Notamacropus eugenii: one gene and its partners. The protein of the gene in region 1 interacts with the protein of each later gene in a pairwise test. Links are inferred from orthologs where the notes say so. Each region holds a gene or a part of one and is shown in the gene's direction. Other genes may lie near its edges. The genes, in order: DVL2, ZGPAT, ARR3 and THAP1.

Region 1 (7,519 bases):
GAGGCAGAAGAGGCTGGAAACGGAGGAGCCTGAGGGCTGGCCTCCCTCTTCTTCCTCTCCTCTCTCTCCCCCCACCCCCTCCCGGCTGAGAAGCCAGAGACTGGGAGAAGGTTGAAGGGAGTGGAGAGTTTTGGGGTGTGAAAGTATTGTGCCTGGGGGTAGTGACAGAATATGGACAGTATAAACTGGAGATCTGCAAATTAGAGAATAGGGTCCTGAGAACTCTAATTGAGTGGGGGGGTGGGGGGAGGGGAGCCGCATGTCCAGGCCTGAGAACCAGGTCTTGAGAATTGATGATGAGGAGGGGTGTAATAAAGCCAGATTAAACCTGAGAACTTTGAGGAGTGGGAACAAGGGATTCTGCATGAACTGGCCAGAAAAGAGAATCCAGAGACTAGAGTGGTGGGGCACAGGACCTGATGGTGTGTGGGAGTGTCCCAACCAAAGGGATTGGGAATGGGAGCCCAGAATAAAGGGCAAAGGAGGAGCCAGGGGCCCTTGGGACCACGAAGGGTAACAGTGGAAAGAAGTAGAGTAGAACCTGGAGAAACATCAACATGGGAGGGCACATGTAAACCATTGCACTCTGAGAAGACTGGGCACTGGAACAAGGAAGATTAGCTAGGAAGAAAGTGGGAGCACAATCACTCATGCCTCCTGTGGGAAGGGAGGGAGGAAAGAGAGGTGGGGGGTCCTTCAAGAGTAACAACGTTTGGGGAAAGAAGCATGTACATTTTTCCAGTACCTTGACTCAGGGCTTTTATTGATTTTTTCAGATCTTCCTCCAAACCTGAAGCCAGAGGCCCAGGTGAGATTTCCCTTCCTACTTCAACCCAAACTTTCTTTAGGGAACCAGACATGTAAGATTCCCCCAGATCTCTACTCCTTCTACCTCTTTTCAGGGGAACTTTGCTTTTGGACCACTGTTCCCTTTGAAAATCCAGGTGTCTGATTCCTTCTTTTTCTGTAGCCCCCTGAAAAACGAAGGCGAACAATTGAGGATTTCAACAAATTTTGCAGTTTTGTCTTGGCATATGCCGGCTACATTCCCTCCAGCAAAGAGGTAGGGGCAATGATCTTAAGGATGGGATGTGAAGGATTTGGGTGAGGGCAAAGGGAGGGAAGGCTATTGTATAAGATTTAGGGAGATTGAAGGGGTAAAGGGGAGTTTAAGGGTAGTTATGGAAATAAATCTAGAAGGTCTATGAAGAAAAAAATGTGGTTTTTTTTTTCGCGTTGGGCGATGTGATAGGATGGAGAATCAAAGGATATCAAAAATGGAGAAGTTATGGGGGTTCAAGAGAATTAGAATTAATGGAGATAAAGTTAATGTAGGCAGTTGCAGGAGGAAGGGACAAGTTAGGGAACTAGGACAATTGGGGAATGATGGTTTTGTTTGTTATTTTGGGTGTGCCAGAAAAGTTTTTGAGAGTCTTGGGGGCACTCTTGGGATCTTGTGGAGGTAAGGTTGAAGATATCTGTGGTTGCATTTAGTGTCATGAGGCCTTGGCTCAAATCCTGTCCAAGATAATTGCTATCGATGATCATAAGCATCTATAAAATCGGGATGACACTTAAACTGTCTGCTTGACAAGGTTGTAAGGAAGTCCATTTGCAAACCTTAAAAGTTCTGTGTACTGTCTGGTTATTATTATTAGAATTACGGTTAGGATAATAGATCATGGGGGGGAGATATGGGTTCTAGTGACAAAAGACACTTCATGGAGATGTTTGGAGACTGCTTAGTTTAGGGGCTGAATTGTTGGCATTTATAGGGAGGTAGGTGGGTTGGTTAGATAATCTGAATTGGTTGGGCTTGGAGAAGTTAACTGTGTGCAAGAGACCCAGGGTATTAGATGACTGCTGTAGTACCCGGTTGTGGTTAAGTCTGATGTGTCTTGCAAGTGTGGGAAATGGAGTTGGAATTTTGTTGAAAGGGGGCACCAACACTTAACCCTCCCTTCCCACCCACCCCTAGGAAAGTGACTGGCCAGCCTCTGGCTCTAGTTCACCATTTCGGGGAGAGAGTGCTGCAGATAGTGATGGCTGGGATTCAGCCCCTTCAGACCTTCGAACCATCCAGACTTTTGTCAAAAAGGCTAAATCTTCTAAGAGGAGGGCTGCTCAAGCAGGTCCCCCTCCACCAGGGCCCACCTTCCCTCGACTGCAGGCCTCTGACAATGCTACACTGCTTGAGAAGATGAAGCTTAAGGACTCTCTCTTTGATCTGGATGGACCCAAAGTGGCACCCCCTCTGGTCCCCGCACCCCCAACACATGTCCCTCGGCCCCCTACTACCCTCACCCCTGTCATTGCTTCCCAGGAGGATCTCCCTCAACCCTCCCGAAAAAAGGACCGAAAGAACCGAAAATTGGGGCCAGGAGGGGGAGGAAGCTTTGGAGTGCTTCGGAGACCTCGATCAGCTCCTGCAGATGGTGAGAAGAGGTCAAGAATAAAGAAGAGTAAGAAACGAAAGTTGAAAAAGCCGGAAAGGGGGGATCGACCCCCCCCTTCTGGGCCCCCTCGGGCTCTTCCCAGTGACACAGACTCTGAAGAAGAGGAAGAGGAGGAGGAGGAGGAGGAAGATGAAATGGTAGCAGTGACAACAGCAGTAGCAGGCAGTTGTGGGGGTGAGGCCCCAGCTTCTGCACTCCCTCCACCCCCTGAGGCTCCCCGGCCCTTCACCTCAACCCCCCCAGGAGGAATCCCTGCTGAGAGTGAAGCCAAGGAAGTGGGGAGCACAGAGACAAGCCAGGATGGGGATGGGAGCTCCAGTGAGGGTGAAATGCGGGTAATGGATGAGGACATCATGGTAGAATCAGGTAAGAAGGGTGTTTGAGGGAAGTACTCTGGGGAGTAGGGGTGGGAAGACAGAAGAACATACACTTTTGTCCCTGAAGGGAGTGGGTTCTTTGGGATGGAGGGGGGAATGCTTGAAATTCTCTAGACTGTGAGTCTTCAGCAGAAATCTGATCACAACCATCCCTTCTCTCAGGTGATGACTCATGGGACTTGATCACCTGTTATTGCCAGAAGCCCTTTGCAGGGAGGCCCATGATTGAGTGCAGTTTGTGTGGAACATGGATCCATCTTTCATGTGCTAAGATTAAGAAGACCAATGTCCCTGACATATTTTACTGCCAGAAGTGCAAGGAGTTGCGGCCAGAGGCCCGGCGGTCTGGTGGTCTCTCCAAGCCTGGAGAGCCCTAGGACCCATCCAAACTTTTCTTACTTCAAGTCGGAACTCTTCACAGACATCATCAACTGAGACGGGGTCCCAATGTTGCCACTGATCCATTGGGATTTGAACACTGTCCCATGATGGGGTGGGGATTCTCAAGGAAGGCTTACTTGGGAATGAATGGGTCTTTCCCTAAAGACTTTAGGACTTGAATTTTGACCCATTGAACAGGAAGATGCCCCTGTTCCTAAGATTCCCTACTTCATCCCTTCACTGTTCTGCCAGTTGACCCTGCTCACTCCCATATCCACCAGCCCAGACTTAGGGCTGGAATCAGGGTGGGGTGAGGCAGTTGTCTATACCTCTAGTGTAATATAGCATTGCCCACCCCTTTCTTCTGTCATTTGTTTGGACCCTTGCCTTTTATTTTCTCAAACCTCTTCCCCCATTTCTTTCCTTCTGAAAACCTTTTGGCTCAGGTGGCCTAAAGGAACGTAACACATGGGTCTCTTGTCTTTTGTGGGGGACAGGTGATATTTCCATCATCTCCCCACTTCTTTGTTTTAATAATATTGGCCAGCTGCTTGTACATACCGCGTGTTTGTAAATAAAACAGTGGGCTCTTTTGTGTTTATAGCCCTGTGACCCTTGTCCTTTCCTTCTTGGAAGATATGTATCTGATGGAGAAAAGGAGGGAAAGCAAGGCTAAGCGATCGTGTTCTTCCCCCCAAAATGCTGAGGTCTAGCCCGTGTCCAGCCCTCTAAGGTCTCCTGGTTTAGACACTCGAACGTAAGCCTTTGGACCATAAGTGAGAAAGTTCCCAGTAGCCGGCTCCGAGTGAGTGTCTGTTCTTCGGGGCTGGGGGGCATGGTGAGGATGTGTGGGGACAGAGGTGTAAGAAGAGGGCTGGTCTGTGAAGGAAGGTGTTTTCTTGGTCCCCGGACGATGGTGAGAGCTGGAGGTAATTTTAGGGGCGGGCCCCGGCTGGGGATTGGGAGAGGGAAGATGAGGGAAGAGTGAGGGGGTGGGAGTTTTCGGGGGAAGGGACGGCAGCACCGTGGGTGGGCAGAGGCTGGGGAGTCCTCACGTGACCGAGGGGAGCTGAGGAGCCGGAAGTGAGGCGTACCGTGTCACGTGAGGGGGCGGCAGTGGGAAGTGTGTGGCGTGGGGCTGGGTGGGAGGGAGGGGACGCCGGGAGGGCGTCCACTTCGGAGGTGTAAGCGGGCCGGGCTCCGCCCCCTCCCCCTCCCCTAGCCTGCCCGGGATGGCTGGCTGGGCTGAGCGGCCGTGTGCGCAGGCGCGGCGGCCGCGGCGGCTGGGCCGGGGCTGGTGGGAGCGGGGAGAGGAGAGGGGAGCTCGGAGGCGGGGAGGGCGACGCGGGCCAGACCATGGCGGGCAGCGGCGCCGCTGGGCTCGGCGGGGCCGGCGAGACCAAGGTGATCTACCATCTGGACGAGGAGGAGACGCCGTACCTGGTCAAGATCCCGGTCCCGGCCGAGCGCATCACCCTGGGAGACTTTAAGAGCGTCCTGCAGCGCCCCGCCGGGGCCAAGTACTACTTCAAGTCAATGGACCAGGACTTCGGGTGAGCGCGGGGCGCGGGGCCCAGGGCCCGGCCGCGGCCGGGAGGCGTGGCGGGGCCCGGGGCCGCAGCCCTGGGCGTGGATGCCGCTCGGGAGGCCGGGGGGAGAAGTAGAAGGCTTCGTGCCGCTTTGGACCGTCGGAAAATCAGACCGAACCTTATTTTGCAGATGTGGAAACTGAGGCACTGAGAGGTTAAGTGGCTTTGCCCAGTTACACAGATAGTCAATGTCAGAGCCAGAATTAGAACCCAGGTCTCTAGACGTGCAGTCAGGCTCTTCCCACTGACTTCTGGGTGACGAGGTTGGCACTGCTTTTGTCACACTTAAAACAAAAAGTGATAAATGAAGGTAAGCCATCCTTCTGATGACGAGGATAGTGCTGGGGACTGAGTGTGCTGGGCCGTGTCTCCTCGTCCTGACGGAGAGAATCCTGGGCTGTTAGTGAGGTGCCCCGAAAGGCCAGTGGTGGAGGGTGTGCAGTTAGGGGACAAAGTCAGTGTGATCTCCTGGAGGAGGTGTGGATCAAAGAGACCTACAGAGGGAAGGAAGACTAGGAAATTTGGGCATTGCAGGATTGGTGGGTCTGTCTCTTTGCATTCTATGAAATCTTGCGCTGGGGAAAGGAAAAAGGGAGAGTTGTCATTCCTTTGAAGTTTGGGGTGGAATGGGGAGGGTAGTTTCCACCCTGATGGGAGAGACACAGCCCTCACCCTTGGCCAGTCTGATAGAGTGCTCACCTAGACGCATGCAGAAATCCAGGTGCAGATGGTATATATTTGGGAGGATTTCTAGACATGGATCAGAGGGAAGGGGAAAGAAAAACATTCACTGACTGGACAGAGCTTCAGACAGGAGTGCTGGTAGGTAATAGTGGAATGAAAGCTGGGGGTAAATGAGATCAGTCAAGACTCCCATTGGAACAGAATTAGGAAATTAGGAAGAGTTGTAGATTTGGGAAGTAAGGGGGACACATCTCTGCAAAGACTTGATGTCTGGAGAAGGTAAAGCAGGGGCAAAAGAAAGGGGGACCATGTTTACCCAACTGGGGTAGAGAGACCTTAAGGTTAGACAAATAGTTTAAGGAGATTGGGTGAGCTTGGGGGGGTTACTCTTGAAAGTTAAGCTAAGAAGTTTCAAGTAAACGCAAGAAACATTTAAAACTCCTGCCAGGTTCTTAGGTTGAAAAGAAAAGGAAAAGGAAGTAAGTAGGAAGAATTACTAGGTAGGGGGATTCCTAGAGGGAGATGAGGAGTTGGGCTGTTATTAACTTGAGGGAGTGAGGAGGGGAAATGCTAACTGTCTTTAAAAGACCCCCCCTAATGCCCCACATTAGGAGGGGCTCAAAAAGAAGGCTGAAATGTTCAAAGGCAGAACCTTTGAAACAGCCTTATTTCATCTAGCACTGTTGACTTTGTTCTCATCTCCTTGCAGCGTGGTGAAGGAAGAGATTTCAGATGACAATGCCCGATTGCCTTGCTTCAATGGGAGAGTGGTCTCTTGGGTAAGGTGGCTTGAGGGGAATGAGGGGACCCTCATTCTTCCACATTAGCATCCCCACCAGTTTCCTTAAAAGGAACGCCTCCTCACCACTCTGCTCTTGCCCCTGCCTCGCTTTCAGATTTTTCCTATTCCCTTCCCTCAGAACAACTTTTCAGTCTCATAAACCCCAGTTTACCATTCTATGTGACTCTCAAGATTCTTTTCTTTGAGTTTCTAGGTTTTGTTTTTCTATCTTGGGTCCCCTTCCAGGTTCTCCTTATCATCTCCATCTTCTTCTCCCTCCCTCCTAGAATCATTTCCCCACCGGAACTTTTACCCTGTTCTTACCTTTCCTAAAAGTCCTTTTTCATCCCTGTTCCCCACCTCTGTAGCTTGTGTCCTCAGATAACCCACAGCCAGAGAATGCTCCCCCAGCCCCTGAACCTCGGGCAGAACCCTCATCTCCACCCCCACCACTGCCTCCCCTCCCTCCTGAAAGGACTAGCGGCATTGGGGACTCAAGGCCTCCATCCTTCCAGTGAGTACTGGGGAGCCTTGTTGGTGATGGGAGGGAGAGAAAAGATCAGCTTCTAGTTAGATTCTGGGGCTGGCTGATCATCATTGCTTTTAGGAGGAATCCCATCATCATTACCTTTTTCCCTGACCCCATTCCTTTTCTAGCCCTAATGTATCGAGCAGCCGAGAGAACCTGGAACCTGAGACAGAAACCGAGTCAGTAATATCACTGAGACGGGAGCGGTCCAGGAGAAGAGAGAGCATTGATCATGTTGGTAAGGGCAGTCACACTCCTAAATTCTGAGAAAAGGAGGCATGGTTTGTGCAGTATGCACATTCTGGGTCCAAAAGGAGATAGGAGCAGTGAAAGATGGGCAGGGGAGAACCAGGGACATAGGGTGCTAGACTTTGGATCTCCCTGGAGCAGAAGTCCAGCCACCTATATCCATACATCTTACTAAGGTGGGGGCCATCGGCCTAGTGGTTCTTCCCGCCTGGAGCGACACCTGGCTGGCTATGAGAGCTCCTCTACTCTACTAACTAGTGAACTGGAGAACACCAGCCTGGGAGATTCAGATGAGGATGATACCATGAGCAGGTATGTCTTATATCTCCCTTTCCATTCTGTCCCCACACTCCTTACTCCCCTCCTCACCTGAAGCTGATGTGATTCCTCTTTCTGCTTACCTTAGATCTCTGTTTTTCTTTGCCCACATTATCCCTGTTAGGTTTAGTAGCTCCACGGAGCAGAGCAGTGCC
Region 2 (7,198 bases), on another chromosome or scaffold:
GAACAGATTTTTTTTTTTTTTGCAGGACACTGATGTGCAGAAAACAGCTATTACTAAGTGTAGATTGGAAACTGGCATCTGGAAACTCCAGCTTCTAACTGCATGAACAAAAAAAAAATAGTATGTTTGAGCAGATAGATTTCTAGGAGTTATTTGTAAAGCTGCTTCCTATAAGAAGTCAAAATATTCATACTGTGAGGTTTTGAACAGTAAAATTACCAAAGAGCTATCTTTACCTAGCTCAGTATCTGGTTTGTGATGGGACTATCCTCAGGACCATAGAGTTTCTAAAAATTTTATGGAACTTAAGCATAAGGACAGGCCTGGAAAAAAAGAAAGTTCCTTTCTTACCTTATCCCAGAGAGACTGCAATTCCTCTTGTCCTCCTAAATCCCAGAACATAAGGCGAGCTTTGCCCACATCAATAGTACCAACTTCAAGGAAAGAAGAAGGAAGAAAAGAGAAATTAAAGGTAAAATACAAGATCCCAGTCACACAAACTTCATTTTCCCCAATCTCTCATCTGAAAGTAAAACAAAATAACTCCCCACTACTCCACAGAGTAGCAATCACTGAGATAAGGAAGGTATTCAGCTCTCAGAAATTCAGTTTCTTTCCTTTACCACATAAGAAGATCAATGAATAATCTGTTATTCCCTGGCTATCTCACCTAGGTCATCATGAGATATTGTCACACTATATCTATTTGCTTTCCTGATTCTGTAACCCCAAAAGATCCACTTACTATTCAGGCCCACTGTAGTGGTGATTTTGGATAAACTCATCCCTTTGTAGTTTCTGTTAAATCGGGTTTTCGTTTGCTCCAGGAAAGTCTAGGTAGATGGAAAAACAAACAAGAAGGTAAGTTTAAAATTGTCCAAAATGGAATGGGCTGCCTCAAGGGATAAGAGTTCTCTGTCACTGGAAATCTTCAAGTGGAGGTGAAATGATGCTTATTAGGGATTCTGTTGATGGGATTCATGATTTCAGAAAGGGCTAGATTAGAACAGCTGAGCTCATTTTTAGCTCCAAAAATCTGTTAGTTTCTACAATCCAGGAATATGCCATAGCTAGCTCCTACCAACTCTTGAAAAATGACATTTAAATTTTCAGTGTATTTACACCTCAGAAATGCTATAATAAAAGTGTGATTTATTGTCTTACTGATTGCCTGGGCTTAAGAAAATGATAAAGGAAATGTTAAGAATGCAGATTAAATATAAAATTGTGTTGTATGAACTTTTTTCACTTGAGACCCAGCTATTAAACACTTAACCAGTACACTCCAATTATCATAACTGTCTCAGAAAAACAGATCCAAAGATCACTCCTTCCCCTTTCTAAAATGCTCCTTTCTTACAATCACTTACAATAACCTTTTCTCAGACTTACAGCTGAGCTATCACATAATCAGTTGAAATTTTACTGAATGAAAAAAAAAAGTAGCAAAATAGATTTTACAAAAAGGAACTGAGGTAACCAGAAAAGAAACTACCTACCGTCTTTCCCGCATTGTCCAGCCCCAAGATTAGGATACAGTATTCATCTCTCCGGAACATGTACTTATAAAGCCCTGATAAGAGTGTATACATCCTGCTCCTGTAAAGTACAAGAAACCAGGAATTACTGGGGAATACTGCTGGGGAACTCTGTTCCTTACAGCATCTTCCTTGCTTCCTTCAATATAACAACAGTAATGATCGTAACAACAACAGATAAAACAATTGAGCCAGAAGGTCCAGGATCCTATTCTAGGCTCCTTTTGCTGTGTAATCTTGAGAAAAATCAACCTGTTTCCTCATTGGCAAAATGAGTATTATACCACAGACTTCTCATTTATTCCCTAGAAATTTTGTAAAGATTAGGTTCTGACTGAAAAACTTTAAGCTTTTGGGAAGATCAGTGATAACAATGTCATAATACTACTAGGCTTATCCCACTGCTCTTTCCATGTGACTGGAAAAGTTTCCCCAAAGACACTGGCATGTAACAGGGTGAGTTTCTGCTTTCTCTTTATACAGTGAGCTAGACTGAGTGCTTCTCAGCAGGCTAAATGGGCCTTTTAACTTCTCTCAACATAAGGGCCTACAGCTGAAAATATCCAAGGACCAAAGTGGCATAGCACAGCAACTCTTTTATGGGGGCCACTATCATTCACCTAGACAGAAACTTGTCCCTTTCTCTCTTGAGAAACACTATAACCCAGAGATTCTGGGCTTTTAAGGGTTATTTTAAAGGTTATGGGGAAAAAATTAGGGGCCTCATAAATTCCCATAACTTGTGCTCCATGGGTCAAACCAACACCTCCACCACAGCCAACAAAAACAAGACTAATCTTTCACTGAGGGAACCATCTCCTTTACTACTGACTTGAACTAACTAACAGATAAGGAGAAGAGTATTAGTTTTCAAATAATGGTTTGGAACACTAGGATAGGACAGACCTACTGGCTCAGCAGTAAGACAAGAGGGGTTCTATCAGTAGGCAGACCAACTGATCTGGACACCCACACAGGGACTCACTAGTTCTGATGTTAGCTCATAAACGAAAGTGGGGTGGGAGATAAGAATAGGACTTTATGGCTCAGAAAAAGGTCTTGGAATGGCTGAATAAGCTGTGGTAGGATTGTGATGGAATGGAGGGGGATGACTTCAGAAAAACGTGGGAAGACTTATATGAAGTGATGCAAAGTGAACAGAACCAGGAGAACAATGTACACAGTAACACAATATTGAGGCAGTTACTAGGCAGTGGATAGAAGGCTGGGCCTGGAGTCAGGAAGATCAGAGTTCAAATCCAGCCCTAGACATTTACTAGCTCTGCAACCCTAGACATGTCAACCTGACCCTGTTCTCCTCAGTTTCTTTATCTGTAAAATGAGGTGGAGAAGGAAATGGCAAACCACTTCGGTATCTTTAACAAGAACCTCAAATGAGGACAAGAAGGGCCAGACACAGCTGAAAAGTCTGAACAACAAATATAAACAGTAGCTCTACAGTAATAATGATCAACTGTGAAAGACTCAGCTACTCTGATCAATACAATGAATCAAGACATTTTCAAAGGATTTGTGATGAAAAATGCCATCCCTCTCCAGAAAGAGAGAACTAAGGAACTGAGTGAACATTAGAAACATACTTTTTTTCACTTTCTTTATTTTTCTTTCCTTTTTTTCTTGGGTAGGGGTGGGGGTTTGGGCAAGGAAAAGAAAGAGTGGCTGAGAGCGATGTATTCCTATTAGCTCAGATGGAGCAAGGCTCTCGAAAGCAGGGGCACGTAACGCCACGGTCTCCAAAATGGGGAGCGAGAGGGCAGTGCAGGAACACAGGTTCAGAAGGGGAGTGGGAGGGCAAGATGAACCCACGACTCGGAAGTGGGAGGAGGGGGCGGTGTAGTCTAGTAGTGGAAGGGGGCCCGGAGCGTCACCTAGGAAACTGGGTCCTGTGGCCCAGACGCGGCCTGGGCCAGGAGGGAGGGGACGTGCCTGAGTTTCAGAGCGACCCATGCGCTTCCTCTTCGCCTCCAGGGAGAGGCCGGCTCCGGCCAAAGGGCCCTCCCCACAGAGGGAACTCTCTGGTCCGGCCTCAAACTCCTAAGTCAGCGGCTCGGGAACTTCCACAACGAACGTGGAGCCCGTGAGGAAGCAACAGGGAACGGGCTGCGGGGCTCCTACCTGCGGCCTAGCGCCTCAGAGACGGAGCCGGAACGACGGCTACTACAGCCACTAGGGCCGAACGAGACCCTCTCGGGCCACTACCTCTACCGCCAGCAAGAGTCGACCTCTCTCGCTGACCCTGGCGCTATGACTTCTGGGACATAGAGTCCACACCGAACTCTTGGAGAAAGGAGAGGCCTTTTGGAAACTACGAATCCCAGCAGACACCGGAAGTCCGCGGGCGGTAGGGTCGTCAGCTCCAATGACGCTTGCACTTCCGGTGGACGGCAGAAGCTGGGGAGGGAGTTCCGGTGGGTTCGTGGCGACCCAGTGAGGGAATCGAGGAGCTGTTGTGGGCCTCTCTAGCCAGAACAAGTACGGCATCTATGGTTGTCTTGCCCGAGCGGCGGTTTCATGGCGGCCGTGGAGGTGGCGGCGGCGGCTGCTTCCCAGGCCTGAGGGGTGAGAGGCTGAAGAGACACTGAGCTTACTGAGGGAATAGGGCCCGAAAAAACCTGGGCAGGGAGGACGGGGCTCGGGAGCAGGACTAGAGATGAAGAAACGATTCCTCCACCGAGGGTCTGTGGGCGAGGTCTCTGCGGAGGACGCCCAAGGGCTAGGCCTCATCTCCCCTCCCCCACCACCCTGCTCCCACCGCCGCCCCTTCCTCCTCCCCCTTCCCGTCTTCTTCGTTATAGTCTTCCCCTCTCCTCCACCTTGTTCTCTTCTCTGCCCTTAGGAGCTTACGTTGTACTGGTGGGAAATAAGATCTAGGCAGCTAAGTCAGTACACAATTTGTACAAGGTAAATAATTTCTCCGCCCCCCACCGGCTCTCCTCTCCTCCCTTCCCTCTTCCACCCTCCCCACGGCCTCATCCAGTCCCTCTTCCTTCTTCCCCATGGCCTTTGTCTCTTCCTCCTCCCACTAACTTTGACATCCCATCTTCCCTTCAGACCTGTCCGACTACATGACAGCTTTAAGTTTAGGAACCTTAATTTTAAAGGACTGCATGGTTCCTGCCCTCGCGAGTGGCCTTGCTCTGGCGTAGCTGTCCTTTGACAGGAGTGATGATGCCTCCCCTAGCCTGAGGGGGGATGGGGCCCAAACGCCAGGACTTCTGTTGTGATTAAGCATCTGTTTGAAATGGCCTTATTCCTCATCTCTGCAGATCGTGATTCCTAAAGGTGCTTGTGGAACAGCTGCCTCCTAGCCAGCGTTTTGTAGGATGTAGGGATACTCAAGTAGATCATCAGAAGAGCTACAGACTGCCTCTGCAGGATGGATGAAAATAGTGTGGAAGCTTCCATCCAGACCTACCATGTCCAACTGCAGCAAGTGGAGCTGGCCCTGGGGACCGGCTTGGACCCTACTGAAAAAGCTGACTTGCTTCAGCTGCAGGCTGACTTAAAGCAGCTCATCGAGCTAACTGAGTCCAGTCTTGTGTCCATCAAGAAGAGTAAGCTCCTGGCCACACTGGACCCAAGCCTTGGCCTAATTGAGAGCGCAGTAAGGGATGAAGCTGAGTATTTGGCTTTCCAGAATGCCATTCGTGAAGTAACAGATTCTGAGACTCAAGGTGCTGAAACTACAACCTCTCCTGAAAGAGGAGAAACGGAGCCTGACAGATCTGGGCATGAAGAGGAGGAAGAGGGAGAGTTGAGTGGGATGAAGGTGAATGCTCCCTACTACAGTTCCTGGGGCACTCTGGAATACCATAATGCCATGATTGTGGGGACAGAGCAGTCAGAGGATGGCACAGCAGGGGTTCGTGTGCTCTATCTCTACCCGACTCATAAGTCCCTAAAGCCCTGTCCCTTCTTCCTGGAGGGAAAATGCCGATTCAAAGAGAACTGCAGGTAATTCTCTCATGCCATTCTGTCTTTACAGGTACCAGAAGACACTCAGTCAACTGAGGACAACAGCCTCAGCTTGAAATGGTTGGGAGTGATTGGTTTAGTTTTTAGTCATTTCTCATGCTGCCAAGAGGTGCATGAGGCATTCTCAGTATTGTTTTCTTGCCCTCATTAGTACAATATAGGGCATGACAGTGTTTAGAAATTAGGGTTTGGAGTTTTTTTGGTGGAGGGGGTGCATTTTGGGAGGCGGGTTCTTGGACCATAGTTTGATCCTAGGCACATCTCCCCTTCTCCACTCCTTGGTTTACTCCTCTGTTAAATAGGACTATACTTCTTTGAGTGCTTTGAGTTCTCCTGTATCGCACATGTGTGAAGCAACCTTGCAAAATGCTGTAGCTACTCACCCACAGTGAGTACCCTATGTGTCCAGTGAGATGCAGTGGTGGGCTTTACTCCCATGTGTCTTGGGGAGGGACAGGGACTGGGTGGAATAGGGAAAGCTGAAGGGTATTATTTGGTTTTGGTTTTGTTCTTGTTTGCAAGGTTTATGGAGAGGCATATTTCTATGTTGGCCTTAAGCTGACTGGTGGGACTCTTCTTCCTTGATTTTACATATCCTTTTTTGTTGAAAAAGAATTCAGCCCAACTAAATGAGCAGTGGTGTGAAAAATATGATAAAAATATATAATCAGAGACTTGCACGCTTGATTTTGTGTGGAATAACCTGAGCGAGCTCTTACTTTAACTGTACATTAGGAACGTGGGACCTAACTGGTTATCATAAAGGAAGTGTGGAGAAACCACTGAGCTAGTAATCCACTCCCAGAGAGTTGAGAGTTTACTGCAAAAACCTATCCCACCAAAAATAGTAAAAATAAAACAGCTCTCAAACTCTCCATTATTTTTGAATGGGTTACCTCTTTTTTGGCATCTATCTGATTCTCTGCATTTGAGTACAAGTTCTGACAGGTACTGGATTTGCTTCTTCTTGGTACCTGATGTTAGTGCCATTTATGGGTGGGAATATTTGATGTGCTTAACCTAATCTCTGCAGGTTCTCCCATGGGCAAGTAGTTGCTGTGGATGAGCTTCGTCCCTTTCAGGAGCCAGACCTGAGTGCCCTGCACACAGGCTCAGCCTGTCTAGCTAAGTACGATGATGGAATTTGGTATCCAGCGAGGATCACAGGTAAGCTATTAAGACAGGGAAGACTGAGGGTTTCCTTAATCAGTGTCTTGAAATGATTGCCTCATGCCAGTGATTTTGAAAGCTAGATCTGATATCAGATTTTTTTTTGAGATTCAGATAAAATCAGTTAGTTGTTAAAATTTGATGTCTTATTTTCATCATATATCAGGTACTGAAATGGAATGGTCTTTGTTTCCTTTCTTCCTCTATTCATTTCACTGTACTTCTTCTGTGACAATATTCATGGAAACAGTTATTGAAAAGGTCTTTGAATGTAGCAGTAAAACAAGTCAAAGATTGTGGCTCGGTCCTCAGTGCCGTCAGGTAGGACACCTGGGAGAAGCAAACTTGATCCCTCACACATGGTCAAAGACTGACCTTTATGCAGGCCGTTGAGTCCACAAGCATTTACCAAGTGTATGCTGTTGCAGGCATGATGCTGGGAGTAGAAAGACAAAAAGGAAATGGTCCCTGCCTTTGAGGAACAGGGGGGTAAA
Region 3 (7,617 bases), on another chromosome or scaffold:
TTTCTTTAGGTGCTATTGTCCTTTTTGTTATGATATTGGCATGGTCCAACCACAAGTAACGAACATCCAAACAATCGCTTATCTTCCTTTATTTCTGTAAGAAGTGCTTTGCAGTTGTATTCCTATCAGTCTTGAGCATGTCTTGGTAGATTGACTCTGCGATATTTCACGTATTTCCTCATTATTTTGAATGGGATTCCCCTATTTGTGGTTTCCTCCTTCTCTTCTTTCCCCAATTCCTGCCCTTAATGTACATATTGATATTCCTCAAACACCCTTACCTCCCAGTTCCTCAGCTTATGGATTTCCCATGATCCAGTCATCCAGCCCAGCCCATCTCAGCTACCCAGAGGGATGGGCATACCCTTACCTTACCCATCACCCACAATGCTCCACATCTGTGTTAATGAACTCTGAAATTCCCTTTTCTACTCACAGTCCCTTGTTGGGATGCGTTTCAGAAGTCAGGGACCTCTGGCTGCTTCTTGGCCAGCTTCGGTTAAGGCAGGACTAGGAGAGGAGAGCAGGGTATCTGGGACCTGGGAAAGAGAAGACCCTGGCGAGGCAGGGTGCAAGAGCCTTGCCACTGAGCACATTGGTGGTAGAAAGACCCAGAAAGACCTGCATGAAATAACGCAGAGGGAAATGAGCAGAATCAAGAGAACATCATATACAGTAACAGAGAGACTGTTCAAAGAGTAACCGGGAACGGCTGAGCCGTCCTGAGTAATGGGATCATCCAAACAGTTATGAAGGACTGGCGAAGGAAAATGCCATGCACCTCCAGAGAAAGAACTGACGGATAGAAGGATGTATTGTATGGTTCTGTGTGTGTGTGTACATGTGTGTATGTATATGTGTATATGTGTTTGTGTGTCTGTATTGTGTATGTATCTGTGTCTGTCTGTACATATATGTATATGTGTATGTCTGTGTATGTCTGTATATGTCTGTGTGTATGTAGACCTGTGTCAAATGTTGGCCTTCTTTAACTCAGGTTAGGGACAAAGGGATGGAGACAGCTCAGAACTCAAAATGTAACAAAAAAAGAAATTCTAAAAAATGAAAAGGACAAAAATAAGAGCCCTGCTCCCAGCTGGGTGAGCCCTGCCTGCCCACACCAACCATCAGGAAAAGCAGGTTAAGGTTGGCTCCGAGGTAGATCAGAGATCATCTTCTGCCTGTGGGCAGGGCTGGTGAGGGCAGCTAAGCAGACTGGAGGGCCAAGAATAAACCCCAGCGTCAATCTCTGTCTCTATCAGGCAAAGCACTAGAGCTGCTTAGGATCACTTACATTGGCTTAGCTTGGCCCCTAGAGACTGGCAGATGGAGAAGGAGGCTGCAAGCCAAGGGCTGATGCTGAAGGCACCATGCTCCAACTGGTACCTTCTGGTCTCCTAGCCCCTGACCTGTGAATCCCAGGTATTACCTGCCCCCGAGAGTGAAAGTTCAGGCTCCCCTCCTCATCCTTACTCCTTATATCTCTCCCTGTCTCTCTGTCTCTGTCTATCTGTCTGTCTGTCTGTCTCTCTCTCTCTCTCTCTCTCTCTCTCTCTCACACACACACACACACACACACACGCATATTATTACATGCAAACATGTACATATGCAGACCTTAGAAGGATATACATTTGCAAACATCCCAATCTATCCTTTAAAAAAGTTCTCCCCTTGCCTCTGCCATCCCTCCAACTGTGCTCCCATATTTCACCATCCTTGCACTTCCAAAGTCCTCGGGGAAAACCCCCAGACTCCTTCATTCATTGTCTAGTCCTTCCCAGATTCCTTGCAGTTTGGCCTCCAGCTCTCCTACTCTCTTAAAATGACCTTGTCATTATTATTTCCTTCTTAGCCCTCCTTGAGCTTCTGGGACATTGCTCTCTCTTGGTCTTCCTCCTCCAACTTGTCTGATTCCTCAGTTTCCCTTGCTGGATCTGTCTTCTGCTCCCAAGCATGAGTGTCCTCTAAGGTTCCATCTTGGACCCTCTTCTCTTTTCAATTTAGGGCCTCAGTCAATCAATCAATCAGCTGACTGACTGAAAGCTTACACAGTGATCCGTACACATGCATGTAAATGGCCATCTATCCAGACATGCACCTCACTTGGGCTTTACAACACTGCTGGGACTAGTAACTTGCTTTTAGATATGAGAAAGTAGAGGTTGTGAGAAATGAAGAGGCTTGCCTGAGACCTAGAAAGGACCTTGCTTGGGCCTTGTGACTCCCAGGCCAACTATCTTTCTACATTGCCACACGTAGCATCACTCACATCACCTAGATCACAGCCAGCGTGTCCTCGAGGTCCCAGTGAGCCTGGTTGCCAGTCTCAGGGACCACACTCCCTCTCCCACCCAGTCTGACATGGTGGAATATTCCAGAAGAAGTGGGAAAGAGCATTTCCAGGACAGGACGCTGGGGAGGTCTGCCACAGTCTCCCTGTCCAACCTCCTGCTACTAGGAGCTAATCTCTTAGCTCATAATCTGCTTTCCAAACTCTTATTTCTTGAGCTATTAGGGGCTATGCTATTTCTCTTCCCCTCCCACCCCAAAGTTAATCAGGCTGAGCCCCCTCTGCCCCAAGGACCTGGGCTATAAAAGGGCTATGGTCAAGAGCACTGCAAGCAGAGCAGGAGGCTGGGCTGCCTTTCATATTTCTCTCCAGGTAACATTTCCTGCCCCTCCGGTTCCATCTCATGCTCCCTCTGTCCATCCATGTCTGCCAATCCTACATCAGCAGGGGATGTTTGGGAGGGGAAATTGCCCCTCCTCCAGCTGAGCCAGCTGCCACCCAGGTCTGAGAGTCTGGGAGCTGTCTAGGCCTAGGCCCCTCAACCCCAGCCTGGCATAACCCTCCACAGCCTGACCTCCATTCCCAGAGGATGGCATAGAAAGAGCCCTGGGGCCCAACAGGCATCACTCATGGTGTTGGTGATGTTTCTAGTCATGAGGCGATGGGACTGTGGGCTAGAAGGCAGGCACTGGGATGAGAATATGAGGAGATCGGATTGGGGAGGACAGTGGTGGGGAGGGAGAAGAGATCTGAGTCAAAGGGAGGTTCCTGGCCCTTGTTCCCACTTCTTTTACTCCCACTTAAGAACCTGATACCTTCTGCCTCCAATAAGTGAGGTCCCTTAGAGAGGGAACATCAGAAAGGGGGATGGACAACAGACTTTGTAGCAGAGGAGTTGAGTATAAATCTAGACTTTGCTTTATCTTGTGTCTTTGTGACCTTGGAAATATCACTCCCCCTTTCTAGGCCTCTGCTTCCTTCTTCTTCTAAACAAACAGGTTGGAATCACTAACCTCTCAGGGCCCTTTCTGCTTTAAGTCTGTGAGACCATGATCTTTCCTGCTCATTAAACTTCCTCAGTAGCCAAAAGATGCTTGCAGCCTTTGTGAGGAGGCTTGAGGGCACATGGTCTAGCCCTCCAGGGACAGAAGGATGCACAGAGGCAAGCCCAGGAGACAGGTCTCACTCAGAGCGCTTGGATCTGGAGACCTCAATAAGCTGAGAACAGTATGCCCTAGTTCCCCGTACTTCTGCCTCTATTGCCTTGAAAGTGTCTTCTCCTTCTGACCAGAGCCACAGCCCTGCTTCTCTCTCCCTGTCCCCAGTCCCTGAACACAGAGATGTGGACAGTCTGGCTGTCAGATCACTTCCTTAGCTTAGCAGAGCAGCCCCCAGCCCCCAAAGCTCAGGACTGTGCCAGCTTTGACTCCCCTCTCCCCTCTCTTCTCTCTCTGCTCCTAACCAATTCTGCCTGCTTCCTCTCCTTCTCACTTCCCTTCTCCCATAGACACCAGGGTCTCCCTTTTAGCATATATGCTGTGGCTAAACCTGGGAAGCACCCCGCCCAGTCTAAGTCTTCTGGATGGAGTCTTTCCTATCCCTTCAGAGCTGACAATTAGGGAATTCCAACGCATTAGTACAGCCAGTCTCCAAAAATATGCAGCAAGCCTATTCAAGAAAAAAATGCACGTATATTTTTCCTGAATTGAATATTCCATTGTGTATATGTAAATGTACACACATATATATGTTCTTTGTACATATGTACATATACATATGCATTTATATGCATATATAAAATAGGACAGGGAAGTATGAGGGAGAACGTGTGCGTGTGTGTGCGTGTGTGTGTGTGAGGGGTGAGGAAGGGCCTGTGACAGCTGGGAGGGAGAGGGGTTACAGAGCAAGGAAACCAATCTCTTGTGGCACCAGGTGGTAAACTATCTACCATCCTCCCCCCAACTGAAAGTCCTCCTGGGGGCTCAGGAGCTGGCAAAGGGGAGAGGTGCCAGGGAACCAACTTGCCGAAGCCTCCTCTCTCTGAGGGTCGTGGGTGTTGGTATTGGAAGGGACCTCGGAGATCCTCCCATCTAGCCCCTTCATTTTATAGCTCAGGAAACTGAGGCCCAGAGAGGAGTGATTTGCCCAAGGTTACCCAGGAGGTCACAGATACCAAGTCCCACGTCAAGACTTTCAGCTCCCAACCCAAGGAGTGCTCCCAAACTGAGTCCATGGCCACCAGCTCCAAGTAAGACACCCTTTCTACTCCCTGTGATTCCCTGAGCACCCCATGCTCCATACCCCCCAGTCTTCACTATCTCCCCAACAGTGCTTGCTGTGAGCATAGGGGGATAGCTCCCAGCCTTCCCACCCTCACCCCATGCCTTGCCCTCTCATTCCCAGCTATGTTCTCACCACCATTTCCTCCCTAATTCCAGCAACAACCATTTCTTTCATACAAACCCTGCCTCCCCATAACTATTTTGTCTCCTACTCTTCAGGGTGTTTAAGAAGACCTGCCTCAATAGGAGGGTGAGAGGCTCCAGGCCAGCGGGAGGGAGGTCAACGTGCATCATTGAGCAATCTCAGGGAGGTTTGAGCAGAGGGATCATGGTGTGTGATTTGGAGAATTACAGGAGGGGCTTTTTTTCCAACAGCTTTCCATCTACCTAGGGAAACGAGACTTTGTGGACCATATAGACTCAGTGGAACCCATTGGTCAGTGACCTCCAGATGGCCAGAGATCTTGACATCAATAGGGTGGAGGGGAGGGATCCTGAAATAAAGGCATGAAATAAAGAAGGAAGCAAATGGGGGGGGGGGGTGCAGGAGATCCCTTCCAGGGGCACCTCTCCTCAAGCCTTCTCATCCACTTCCACAGATGGTGTTGTCCTGATTGACCCTGAGTACTTGAAAGATCGAAAAGGTAATGGGGCATATGTGTGTGTGTGTGTGTGTGTGTGTGTGTGTGTGTACATGTAAGAGAGAAAGAGAGAGACACAGATACAGAGAGAGAGAAAGAGGCAGAGAGCCAGAGACAGACAGAGACAGAGAGAAACAGAGACAGAGAGATGGAGAGAGACAGAAACAGAGACAGACAGAGAGACAAACACAGAGACAAAGATAGAAAGCCAGACAGAGAGAGCCCACCTATGCTCTGTGTATGTGTCTTTCTATCTTTCTTGAGTCTGTATCTTTCGAGTCTGGGATGGGGAAACTACGCTGTTCTTCTCCAGGTCCTAAAGTAATTAGGTAGAAAGAGAAAATGTCCCGATGCCATTACAGAGTCTCACCCCGCCAACCAATGTCAGTAACCCATCCCAAGTAGAAGAGATCCAGTCACTAAGAGAAGAGGAGGAGCTGGGGGTCCCAGAGCAATTCAGGAATCAAGATAAGAAAGGCCCACAAGCCCCCAAGCCCAGGCACTTAACCTCATGGATGAGGCAGCTAAAGAAATGACACGGACAGATCAGTACTAAGAATTGCAATTAGGGGCTTTCCCCTGGGGGGGGGGGTGTTTTTGGGTTCCTATATTAACCCTCCTAAATGGACTCGATTTGGAAAATCACTCATGAGTTAAAAGCTGGTTTTAAATGAAGCTTTTAGCCACAGTAAGCTGAGGCAGCTCAAGTGTCTCTGAGAGGTCAGAGAGAGCCTAGTGTTCTGGGGGTCAGGAGCCTGGACTTCTGAGCCTCTGCTCTGCCCTTGCTAGGCCTCTCTGTGTTACCTCCATTCCATCCTCTGTAAAATGAGGGGATTGGCTTCAAAGGCCTCTGACAATCGGAGAGCTTTGACACATCAAACACGCTTGTAAGCTAAATGAGTTTCCCAAGTTGAAAAGCTCAAAGCCTTCAGAATGATCCTCCCAGAATGAACATTTCTTTGGAAAATAAACTTTCAAGCTTGAAAAAAAGAAGTGGACAAGTTGTTTTGAAGGCAGAAAGGAAAGTTTCACTACCAAACAATAAGCATTTCCAAGGACGGTGACACCTTCTGACCAGGGCTCCTGTGCACCCTAACGTCATCTTTGTTGCGTTTGACTCTTGGTGACCCCACTTGGGGTTTTCTTGGCAAAGATACTGGAAGGGTTTGCCGCTTCCTTCTCTAGTTCATTTTAAAGATGAGGAAGCTGAGGCAAACAGGGGGAAGTGACCTGCCCCGGGTCACATGGCTATTAAGTGTCTGGAGCCAGATTTGAATTCAGGTCATCCTGACTCTGGGCCCTGTGCTCTATCGCACCACTTAGTTACCCTTGCTGTTCATCTCCCCACCCCCCAGTCTATTGAGGCTCCCTCTTGTCTGTCCTCCTTTCTGCCCCTCCTTCACTTGGGCTCTATTCTTACATTCACTCAGTCATTTGATAAGCACGTATTGCACACTGACTAAAATAAAGCACCAGGCACTGTCCTAGGTGCTGGAGCTACAAAGACAAAAATCCTGAAGTCCCTGTCTTCAGGGAGCTTACAGGCCAGCAGAAGGATGAGGCCTCAGCAGTATACTGTCACACCACCAAGGACCTGGGATTTTGTTGGTTTGGAAGCTCCCTCTACCAGTACTTACCTAAAACAGAGTCACAGAGAGTTACCTGAAGCCCAAAGAGATTAGCTAGTGAGTATAAGAAGCAGGATATGAGCCCATTGAGCCCTGCCTCCAATCCAACCCTCTGCCATGCTACCTTTGGATTGCATCTGTGGGGCTTATTCAGGGCCCTGTTCAGGGCCAGCCCATCCCAGCCCCCATGTCAGTACCTCCTCATTTCCCCGCAGTCTTTGTGGTGCTGACTTGTGCCTTCCGTTATGGCCGGGATGATCTGGACGTGATCGGTCTGACATTCCGAAAAGACCTCTATGTGCAGGCCCTGCAAGTTTTCCCCAAAGAGCCCACCCAAGCCCCATTGCCCCTCACAAGCCTTCAAGAATGCCTGCTGCAAAAGCTGGGTGACAGTGCCCATCCCTTTACCTTCCAGGTGAGCCCCAAGCCCTGGAGGACAGAACTGGGCATTGGGGGGGGGGGGAGCACAGAGAGTAGGGGAAGTAGGAGAAAGGCCCTGACCTTCCTGTCTGCTGACCTCCTTCTGATATCCCCCTCCCTTTGACAGCTGCCCACCAATCTGCCTTGTTCAGTGACCCTGCAGCCTGGGCCCGAGGATGCTGAAAAGGTGAGATCCTGCTTCCCTGGGGGAACAGGCCAGTGGGGCAGTAGGAGAAAGTGGAAGAGACCAATGAAGAGAGTTGGGGGGACCAACCCAAGGAAGCTGAGGGTCAAGACTTGGTCCATCAGCCCTGTGGCCTCACATCCGGGACAGATGTCTTTGTTCTCCTTCC
Region 4 (8,289 bases), on another chromosome or scaffold:
ATTACCAGAAGAGAACCTGCTGCCTAATTCAGTTCAAGCCTGGGGTGTGTTTCACATTGGTGGGATGGCAAAATGAGTAAGAAAAATATTTCTTTTCCTGGAAGTTGACATGTGCTCTTAAAATTCCTCAATTGACTTAACCTGGAATAGTTTTTTAATGAGCTTTGTCACAGTAACAGTATGAAGGGACAGCTAGTTCCTAATTTATCAGTGATGATAGATAATGAAAACTATTAACCTTACTGGTAAACATTTATTGAGCCCCTACTGTGTGTAATACTGTCCTTGGCATCAAGAGGGAAATAATCAGAAAATCTTATCTGTAATTCATTCAGATACAGACATCAACTTGGTACTGACTCTAAAATGTCAATAATGATGACTTTATTTCAGCTTTTTCTGTGCTGGAGGACAATAACTGGCTATTGATGTCTACAGTAGATACAAAAATGATATGAAAGGTGACATACCATATTGTATTTAGGTAAGAAGGATTTGGGGATTTATCATTTGGAGCAAAAGACCAGAATATATCTCTGGATATATTTCTTCATTTCTGTGGGATAATTTAGGTGTGAATCTCAAGCAGAAAATGGACTAGATACTTTCTCACTATTGTTTATAAAACCTTAATCCCTACAGTGACTCATCATAAAAGGGAAGAATAGCAGCTATGAGAATTTTTGCTATACCTACATTTACTCAACTGAGGGATTCTGGAATCCTTCAAGTCAAGGATAAACCTTACTTAGGGTACAAAATTGAATTATCCTGTGGAAAAAGGAAATTTTCAGTATGTATGTTCTACCTACACTACCCACTATTACAATTCTGATAAACATTGATTTTATTTTAATATGCTGGATAAAGGTATTTTTTTATCACAATTTGTAGCATTTTAAGAATTGTAATATTTGAAACCACATCAAGTTAAAAAAGGACATTTTAAAATTTATGGACCGTCTTAAGTTCATTGCATTCAATTCTGGCAATGGATATAAAGAGATTTTAAATTTAATGTATTTAAACCAAGTAAAGTACTTCACTTTTTAATCAGTGTTTGAATTCAGCTATAACTCCCATGATCCAAGGTAAAAAATCACACAAATCAAAGTGATTTATACAGAGTGCCCCCAGGAGTATATAGTAAATTGATCAATTATCTGGGGAGTCTAGACGGTTGCCCAGACTCCGTCCGTTGGTCAGATGTCACAAGCACCACAGTTTCTGGCTTTTCAGTGGTGAATCTTCGTCACTGCAACAAGAACACAAAAGTAACCTGAATCCCTTATTACTATGTGGAATCTACCTCACAGTTGTTGTTATGGAGAAATAATACTTGAGTTTAAGCTTTGAATTTATGTGCAAGTAATTTGCTCTTTCAAATAAAAGCAGCCTATCTCAAATGTTTGTTCTGCTATTACTTCTGTAATGGATGTGCTCAGAAATTTTTAAGACAGGCGTGGAATGGTACCATGAAATGGTATTCGATGTAACTGTTGTTCCTGCTTCATTTATTACTAATGTGTATTAAGCATCCCATTGTACCTATAATTTACTATATTAATTTTTGCCATGTGCCAAAAAAAATTGAAAAATGAGTGTGGTATCTCTTACTAATTGGTTCTACATTCATAGGCTTTTATATTTTATTTGCTCCCCCTTTGAAAACTACAGGCCTCCTGACTCTAAGTCATGTGTAAGTTTTGAAGAAAAATAAGCCAACTTTCATGCTTAGCCATGGCTCCAAACTCAAATGTGTGAAAGCTTAAGTGCTTTTTCATTTCTTATTTGTATTTGTCATATTTGTCACAACTAATAAAACTAGCAGACTGGACAATTAGCATATAACACCATGATTTTCTTACACAGGACTTTTTGCCTTTGCCCATTTAACTTGTGCTTTTTCTTCCTTGTCTAGGAAAATGAATTTCCCTTTTGACTCTGTTTATTCATGTTTAACTTTTAAATTTTCTCAGAATTTTCTGAAAACTATCTGCTCTGAATGTTCGCTGTTCTTATTTGCATGTATCTTTTTGCTCCCTAGAATACTACGTAAGTAGGTACTTTAAGTCCTTTATGATATTTAGTCATAATCAGATTGCCTTTTCAAGAAAAGTCTAATTATTACATTTCTTGCCTTTGGTTCCTTTTTTGTGATCAGAATTGAGCCTTTTTCCCAAACAGGTCAACAAAGCATATATTCTTCGACTAACACCATCCTTATACCTTGGTCTACCACAAAGGCAGAGCCAGGACAGAATAATATGTCTCTCTGGGGAATACTCAATATTAATTAATAAGCACCACCCTCCCACTCTAGTGATGATGTTTTAGCTTACAAACTGTTCTACAGATAAGATTGAATCTTTTAAAAATGAAATTGAAAAAAAGAGAACCAGTAATTACTTGAAAGCAACATGACATCTGATATCTTAAATTATTTTTACTTTTAAAAACAAGTATTTAAAAATGCCCTTTTATATCCATACTAAAATAAGAATTCTTTGTCCAAGCACTAATTTTCTATATGACTGATTAATTAGCTGGCTCTGATCAATAAGAACAGCTCAGTTTTATATCATTATAGTTAATAAACCAAATTAGCATTTCCACCCAATGTTGCACTTTCTATAAAAATAGAACTCTTAAAAATGTCAGAAAGAGCTAATGCTTCTGATCTGATTTGGGAATATGCCATGTCAACTAGTTCTTTTTATTTGTTTTTAGTTTAAAACATTCACTTTTATAAGATTTTGAGTCCTAAATTCTCCCCCTCCCTTACCCTCAACTAGTTCTTTTTAAGAAACTATTTTGTAAGGCCTGTAAAACTAGTATTACCATTCCCTACCCCCTTCATAAATCCTTATCATATATCATAAAAACTCACTTGCATGTCATGGTATTACCTCCCTGACAGGTGGGCAACACAGGTTATTTGCTTTCCTCTTCCTCTCCTTTCCTTCCTTCCTTTTCTTTATTCTCCCTCCACATAGGGTATCATACACTTACCTGCCAGTGCTCTGCCCAAAGGGAATGTAAGTTTTACTCTCTGAAGCTTTGTTTTTTTTTCTCTTAATAAAAGAGCATCCTTAACTCCAAATCACTGTAGTCCTAGACCAAACCTTACTTGGTCTCAGTTTGGGCCCTGATTGGCTCAAAATGAATGAAAATAACAATCGTTTCTGTTTTGGTGAAAAACCTTGAGGGTCTTCCCGTCTCAGATCCTTTTTTTTTTTTTTTTTAAAGAGGCCATTCTTTGCCTCATTTTTTATTAAGTTTTAATCACTGAATGCACGATGCTCAAGTCAAATTGAGACCTATTAAACTTAGCTTGAAAAGGCCAAAGACCCCCACTGCATCCTGGGCCATCTCCAGTTGTGCTGATCCATATCTGGCCACTGGACCCTGATGCCTCTGGAGGAGGAATTGAGGCTGGTGACTTTGCACAGCCCTCCCTCACTTAAATCCATTTCACTTGCACATCATGGCGTCTCCTCCTTGATGTCATGGTCCTCTTGGAGAACAAGGACAAACAGCAGGTAGCATAAATTCTAAATCAGCTACATAGCATTTCAAGGTTTTTAAAGTTGTTTACATAACATTATTTCATTTATCTTCAAAATTCTGTGAGATAGAAGCTATTTTTATCTAATTTTACAGAAGAGAAAAATGAGAATGTGGGGGTTAGAGGGAAGGGAGAAGTAAAAAATAATACTGTGGTTTACAGCCTAAAACACCAAGAAATGGAGACCATTAACAGAAAGAGGCAAGTCAGGTTTTAAGCAAGAGGCCAATGATGATGATAGCTCACATTTTTAGAGTGCTTTATTTAACAAAGCACTTTCTTTATAACAATCTTGTTGTGAATTACTAGCCCCACCCCCATTTTACAGAGGATACAACAGAGATGTAAGGAGCATAACTTGCTCAGAATCACTGGGACAGAAAAGTGGCAGTGGCAGAACTCAGATCCAGATCTTTCAGCTTCAAGGCCAGTAACCAAATTATCACACCAGGCTGCCAGACAAATCACCTTCCCCCAGCATAGAATACTCAGAAGTGAGTGTAAGTCATTGTATTTGAAATGGGAAGACACTAGGGTATAGGTCAGAGGTTTTTAATCTTTTTGGTATCATGAACCCCTTTTGGCAATCTGGTGAAGTCTATGGACCCCTTAGCAGAATAATGTTTTTAAATACGTAAACCATATAAGATCACAAAGGAAATCCAATGATATTTAAAAATAAATTCATAGACCCCAAGTTAAGGGTCCCTATGTATTATAATAGTACAGGTGGGTGATAACTATGTCCTAATCTTAGGTTTTGTCATTCATATTCATTGGTTTGCCACGTCTTCTCCTTTAACCCTCCATAAAATCTATGCCCCTCTTTCCACACAGTCACCACCCTAATTCAGCCCTTTGTAACTCCCTATTTCCAGCCATTCCTATCTGCCATCTCTCCTTCATTTCCCACTTGGCTGCTGTCCTGAATGATCTCCAGAAACTCATCGTTCTGCAAGAAGAATTCAACTCTGAAACTCACACTTCCCCATAACCCTGTGGCTCCGGTATGCCTCCCCATGGAGAGGATGGAGGACAGACCCTGGAGAGCTCCTTCATCTTTGAAGAAGGGCATCCAGGGAATTCACCTCATTGTTTCCCAACGGTGCTCTCCAGTACTTCCTGACCTCCAGAAACTCATCATTCTGCAAAATGAATTCCACTCTGCAACTCACATCTCCTGAGATCATTTCCCATTCCCCACCCCCCCCTCCCCCATTAGACTGAGTTTCTTGAGGGAAGCAAACTGTTCCATGCCTTTCTTTGAATTCCCATTGCTAAGCAGTGTCGAGCACATTGTTGGCCTTAATAAATGTTTAGTGACTATTGACACAGCTGCCAGAATCCCTCCTGCCTCTAAGATAAAATATAAACTCTTCCGCCTTATCTTTCCAGCCTTATTTTGTTACTCCTTTCCTGAGCTCCACATTCGTATTAAACAGGGCTGCAGTTCCTGGAACCTCTCCTCCAATCTGGGCATTCAAAGACATAAACCCATGCCTGAGTTCACTCCCATCATATCTCCACATCTAAGAATCCCTTCTTCCAAGGCTTAACTAAATGTGCCCCTTGAGTGAAGCCTTGCACTTCCATAATTGTATTTGTTAATGTTCTCCTCAAATTACCTTTGTGACTGACTTCTCTGTGAACGCTGACACATCCATCAGTATAACAGGTAAGTCTTTTAAGGGAAAGTCATTTTTGACTCTCCAAAAATTAGCCCAGTACCTTTCACAGAGAAGAAGCTTCATAGATACTTGGTGAATTCGTTTGGTTAAGGGTTAGAATGCTGCTTAGAACCACTTTTGAAAGATCCTTCCATTTACTCTACATTCAGAGAAATGGTTTATCTCCCCTTCCTAAATATTACTTCCTTTCCCTTATGTTAATTTTTTAATACTTCAGAAGGGCCATCATTTCCTCCCTCTGGGTACTTCAGTCTACCAATGCATATAACAGCCCTTCCAAAACTTAGCACTGTCTTGGGCTGCAATAGCACCAATCCCCTTCCAATCACATGCTAGGTATTGGAGTTTATTCTAAATCTTTCCAATTTAGCAGGCCCAGCCAAAAACTGTGCTCCATTGGTATGCTATTAAAAACCCTAGGGTTACTTCCACATAATGAATGATGAGGCTTTAGAGTAAAATTTCCAAGAGAAATGTTAACATTCTCTAAGGCTAATGTTCTCTAATATTAGCATTCTCTTTTTGGGGGGGGGGGAAGGGAGGCAAGCAATTGGGGTCAAGTGACTTGCCCAGGGTCACACTGCTGGTAAGTGTCTGAGGCTCTGGATTTGAACTCAGGTCCTCCTGACACCAAGGCCAGTGCTCTATCCACTGAGCCACCTAGCTGCTCCTTAAATTGTAATCTCAGCTTTTCCTCCTGTGACTGGTACGAAGCCCTGCACACAAAAAGTGTTTAATAAATATTTTGAAATATATATGAGGCAGTACATCATTAAGAAGTGGGATAAAGTCATATGCCCTCTGTAAAGTCTGAGGATTAGCAAATTTCAAGTAAGAGTTTTTAAGGAGGTGTATAAACTTTTTAAAAACATGTTTGGATAAGTATTTCAAAATAATTGGTTTTTTTGGTAATACTATGCATTTTATTAATTTAAAAACACTTTTTTGAGAAGTCCAGTTAGGCAACTAGGTAGCACAGTGAAAACTGGATGTGGAGCCAGGAAGATGTGAGTTCAAGTCAGACCTTGGACACCAGCTGTGTGACCCTGAACAAGTCACTTAATGTCTGCCTCAGTTCCCTTATTTGCAAAATGGGGAACACAAAGAGTTCATAAACATTTATTAAAACCTACTCTTTGTGAATTATCGAATTACTAATTACCTAAGACTTTAGTAATTTATTGAGAATACAAAGAAAAGTAAAAGACTGTGAAATATTAAAACAACCTATGTTCAAACAAGTTACATACAGAATAAATTGTAAATAATAGAGAGGAGGGCACTAGAATTAAAGAGGATGGGAGAAAGCTTCCTACAGAAGGATCTTTGGTGGGACTTGGAGGAAGCCAGGAGAGAGAGCATTCCAGGCACGGAGGACAGCCAACGAAAATATGCAGTTATCTTCTCCAACGGACAGCAGCAATATGAAAATACTCTGCGTGACTGAACACGTTTAATCTATACATACATACACTGCTTGCCTTCTGAAGGAAGGGGGGGGTGAGGAAGGGAGGGATGGAATTTGGAACTCAAAAATTATAAAAAAGAATGCTAACGTTTTTACGTGCAACAGAGAAAAAAATCCAACATTCTATTTTTAAAAAAAAGCAACAAGGAGGAGGTCAAGTAAGAAGACTGAAAAAATGGGGTAGGGGCCAGGGAGAGGAATGTCATAAAGAGCTTTCAATTCCAAGTTGAGGATTTTGTATCTAATCCTGGAGATGATGAAGAGCTGGAGGGGTGTCTGTGTGGGACATACACCTGCTTGGTTTCTGTTTTAAATCTAGTTAGATTTAATAGCACCCACCGACCCCTCGGGGTTGCTGTGAGGATGAAGTTAGATGTTGGCCAAGTACTTTGCAAATTCTTAATTATTATTATTTCACCAGAGTACTAAAAGGGCCCATGACATAAAAAATAATTAGGAACCACTGTTCTAAAAAAGGCACCTACAGAGCTTGGTTCAAATTATTAGTCGCCTCCCTCTTCCCCGCCCCCCAGAAGCGGAGCTATCGCCGATGAATCGATCCGCGATATTGTGAGCAGCAGTTTCGGCCCGCCCCTCCTCGAGAGGCAGGACTCGGGGCGAGACCTCTAAGCACCTTCCAGCCCTGTCTTTACAGAATTCTTCTAGGAAAACCTTGCCCAAAGGCCGATCAAGGCATTCCCTATCCTTCATAAGGTGAGGGCCGAGCGCTTGCTACACCTCTATCGATTTCAAGGACTCCAAGCGCTGCCTCTCCCAAGAAAACAGGGCTTGTAGGCGGGGCTTGTGATTTCTCCGCCCCCTGCGCCCGCCTCGCTCCGCCCCTCGTGACTTTCAATCCCCCGCCCGCTCCCACGACGGGCCCCTCCCCTCAAGCCAAGCCTCAACCCGGCCTTCCAGAAATAAACTCGGGCTTCGCCGCCGCGAACTTCGCAGGCTCCGCCCCATTCCGCCAACTCCGTAGGCTCCGCCCCATTCCCCCATGGCCTCCCAGGGGGAGGGAAGGGCCGGTCGAATCAGCTCTGCGCGAAGGTGTCGGGACTCCGCCTGTTGCCCGCATCCAACTGAACGTTACCTCGGGTCGACAAGCCAATCAGAGCCGACGCCCGCAGCTCCTCGCGAGAGGTGAGGTTGAAGCTGCCTCCGCCATCTTGGAGATGGGAGCAGACGGGCGATGGCTGCGATCCTGCTAATGCAAACAACAATACAGGCGTATTAAAAGCGTCCTGGAGTGAGCCGAACTTTCTCCGCTTCGGTCGGCTGGCTCTAAAGAGGGCAGCGAAGTGTCTAAGTCAGGTGCGCGGTGGCGGCGGCAGCAGCTGCTCCTGCCCGCCCCTACGGCCCCAAGCCGGAAGGATGGTGCAGTCCTGCTCCGCCTATGGCTGCAGGAACCGCTACGACAAGGATAAACCCGTTTCCTTTCACAAGTGAGTTTCCGGAGAGCGGCACGGGAACGGGATGAACCTTAGCCTCACCGGGGGCGAGGGGGCGCGCGGAGGGTCAGGCAAGGGGGCGGAGCCGGGCGCGTGTCCTGGCGGGAGCGCGGC

What was found.
Region 2: the proteins of DVL2 (region 1) and ZGPAT interact in a two-hybrid assay, tested with the Homo sapiens proteins (2 studies listed by BioGRID and IntAct). The two-hybrid records come from large-scale screens. The link is inferred for Notamacropus eugenii from reciprocal best matches to the Homo sapiens genes DVL2 and ZGPAT.
Region 3: the proteins of DVL2 (region 1) and ARR3 interact in a two-hybrid assay, tested with the Homo sapiens proteins (2 studies listed by BioGRID and IntAct). The two-hybrid records come from large-scale screens. The link is inferred for Notamacropus eugenii from reciprocal best matches to the Homo sapiens genes DVL2 and ARR3.
Region 4: the proteins of DVL2 (region 1) and THAP1 interact in a two-hybrid assay, tested with the Homo sapiens proteins (2 studies listed by BioGRID and IntAct). The two-hybrid records come from large-scale screens. The link is inferred for Notamacropus eugenii from reciprocal best matches to the Homo sapiens genes DVL2 and THAP1.

What each region holds. Positions count from the first base shown.
Region 1 is NC_092873.1:78,832,087-78,839,605, forward strand, and holds the start of DVL2 (segment polarity protein dishevelled homolog DVL-2), read left to right. Parts: upstream 1-4,466; 5' UTR 4,467-4,570; coding exon 4,571-4,767; intron 4,768-6,196; coding exon 6,197-6,266; intron 6,267-6,636; coding exon 6,637-6,782; intron 6,783-6,925; coding exon 6,926-7,035; intron 7,036-7,222; coding exon 7,223-7,358; intron 7,359-7,488; coding exon 7,489-7,519. Other genes in the region: PHF23 (PHD finger protein 23), read left to right, coding at 777-808, 971-1,063, 1,979-2,822, 2,996-3,210.
Region 2 is NC_092872.1:496,789,039-496,796,236, reverse strand, and holds the start of ZGPAT (zinc finger CCCH-type with G patch domain-containing protein), read left to right. Parts: upstream 1-4,118; intron 4,119-4,395; 5' UTR 4,396-4,460; intron 4,461-4,825; 5' UTR 4,826-4,935; coding exon 4,936-5,513; intron 5,514-6,567; coding exon 6,568-6,701; intron 6,702-7,198. Other genes in the region: ARFRP1 (ADP-ribosylation factor-related protein 1), read right to left, coding at 352-434, 746-833, 1,500-1,593, 3,829-4,040. UniProt on the Homo sapiens protein: Transcription repressor that specifically binds the 5'-GGAG[GA]A[GA]A-3' consensus sequence. Represses transcription by recruiting the chromatin multiprotein complex NuRD to target promoters.
Region 3 is NC_092879.1:100,598,948-100,606,564, reverse strand, and holds the start of ARR3 (arrestin-C), read left to right. Parts: upstream 1-4,426; 5' UTR 4,427-4,524; coding exon 4,525-4,541; intron 4,542-4,794; coding exon 4,795-4,825; intron 4,826-4,950; coding exon 4,951-5,011; intron 5,012-5,174; coding exon 5,175-5,219; intron 5,220-7,059; coding exon 7,060-7,259; intron 7,260-7,391; coding exon 7,392-7,451; intron 7,452-7,617. UniProt on the Homo sapiens protein: May play a role in an as yet undefined retina-specific signal transduction. Could bind to photoactivated-phosphorylated red/green opsins.
Region 4 is NC_092872.1:617,706,005-617,714,293, forward strand, and holds the start of THAP1 (THAP domain-containing protein 1), read left to right. Parts: upstream 1-4,994; 5' UTR 4,995-8,098; coding exon 8,099-8,169; intron 8,170-8,289. UniProt on the Homo sapiens protein: DNA-binding transcription regulator that regulates endothelial cell proliferation and G1/S cell-cycle progression.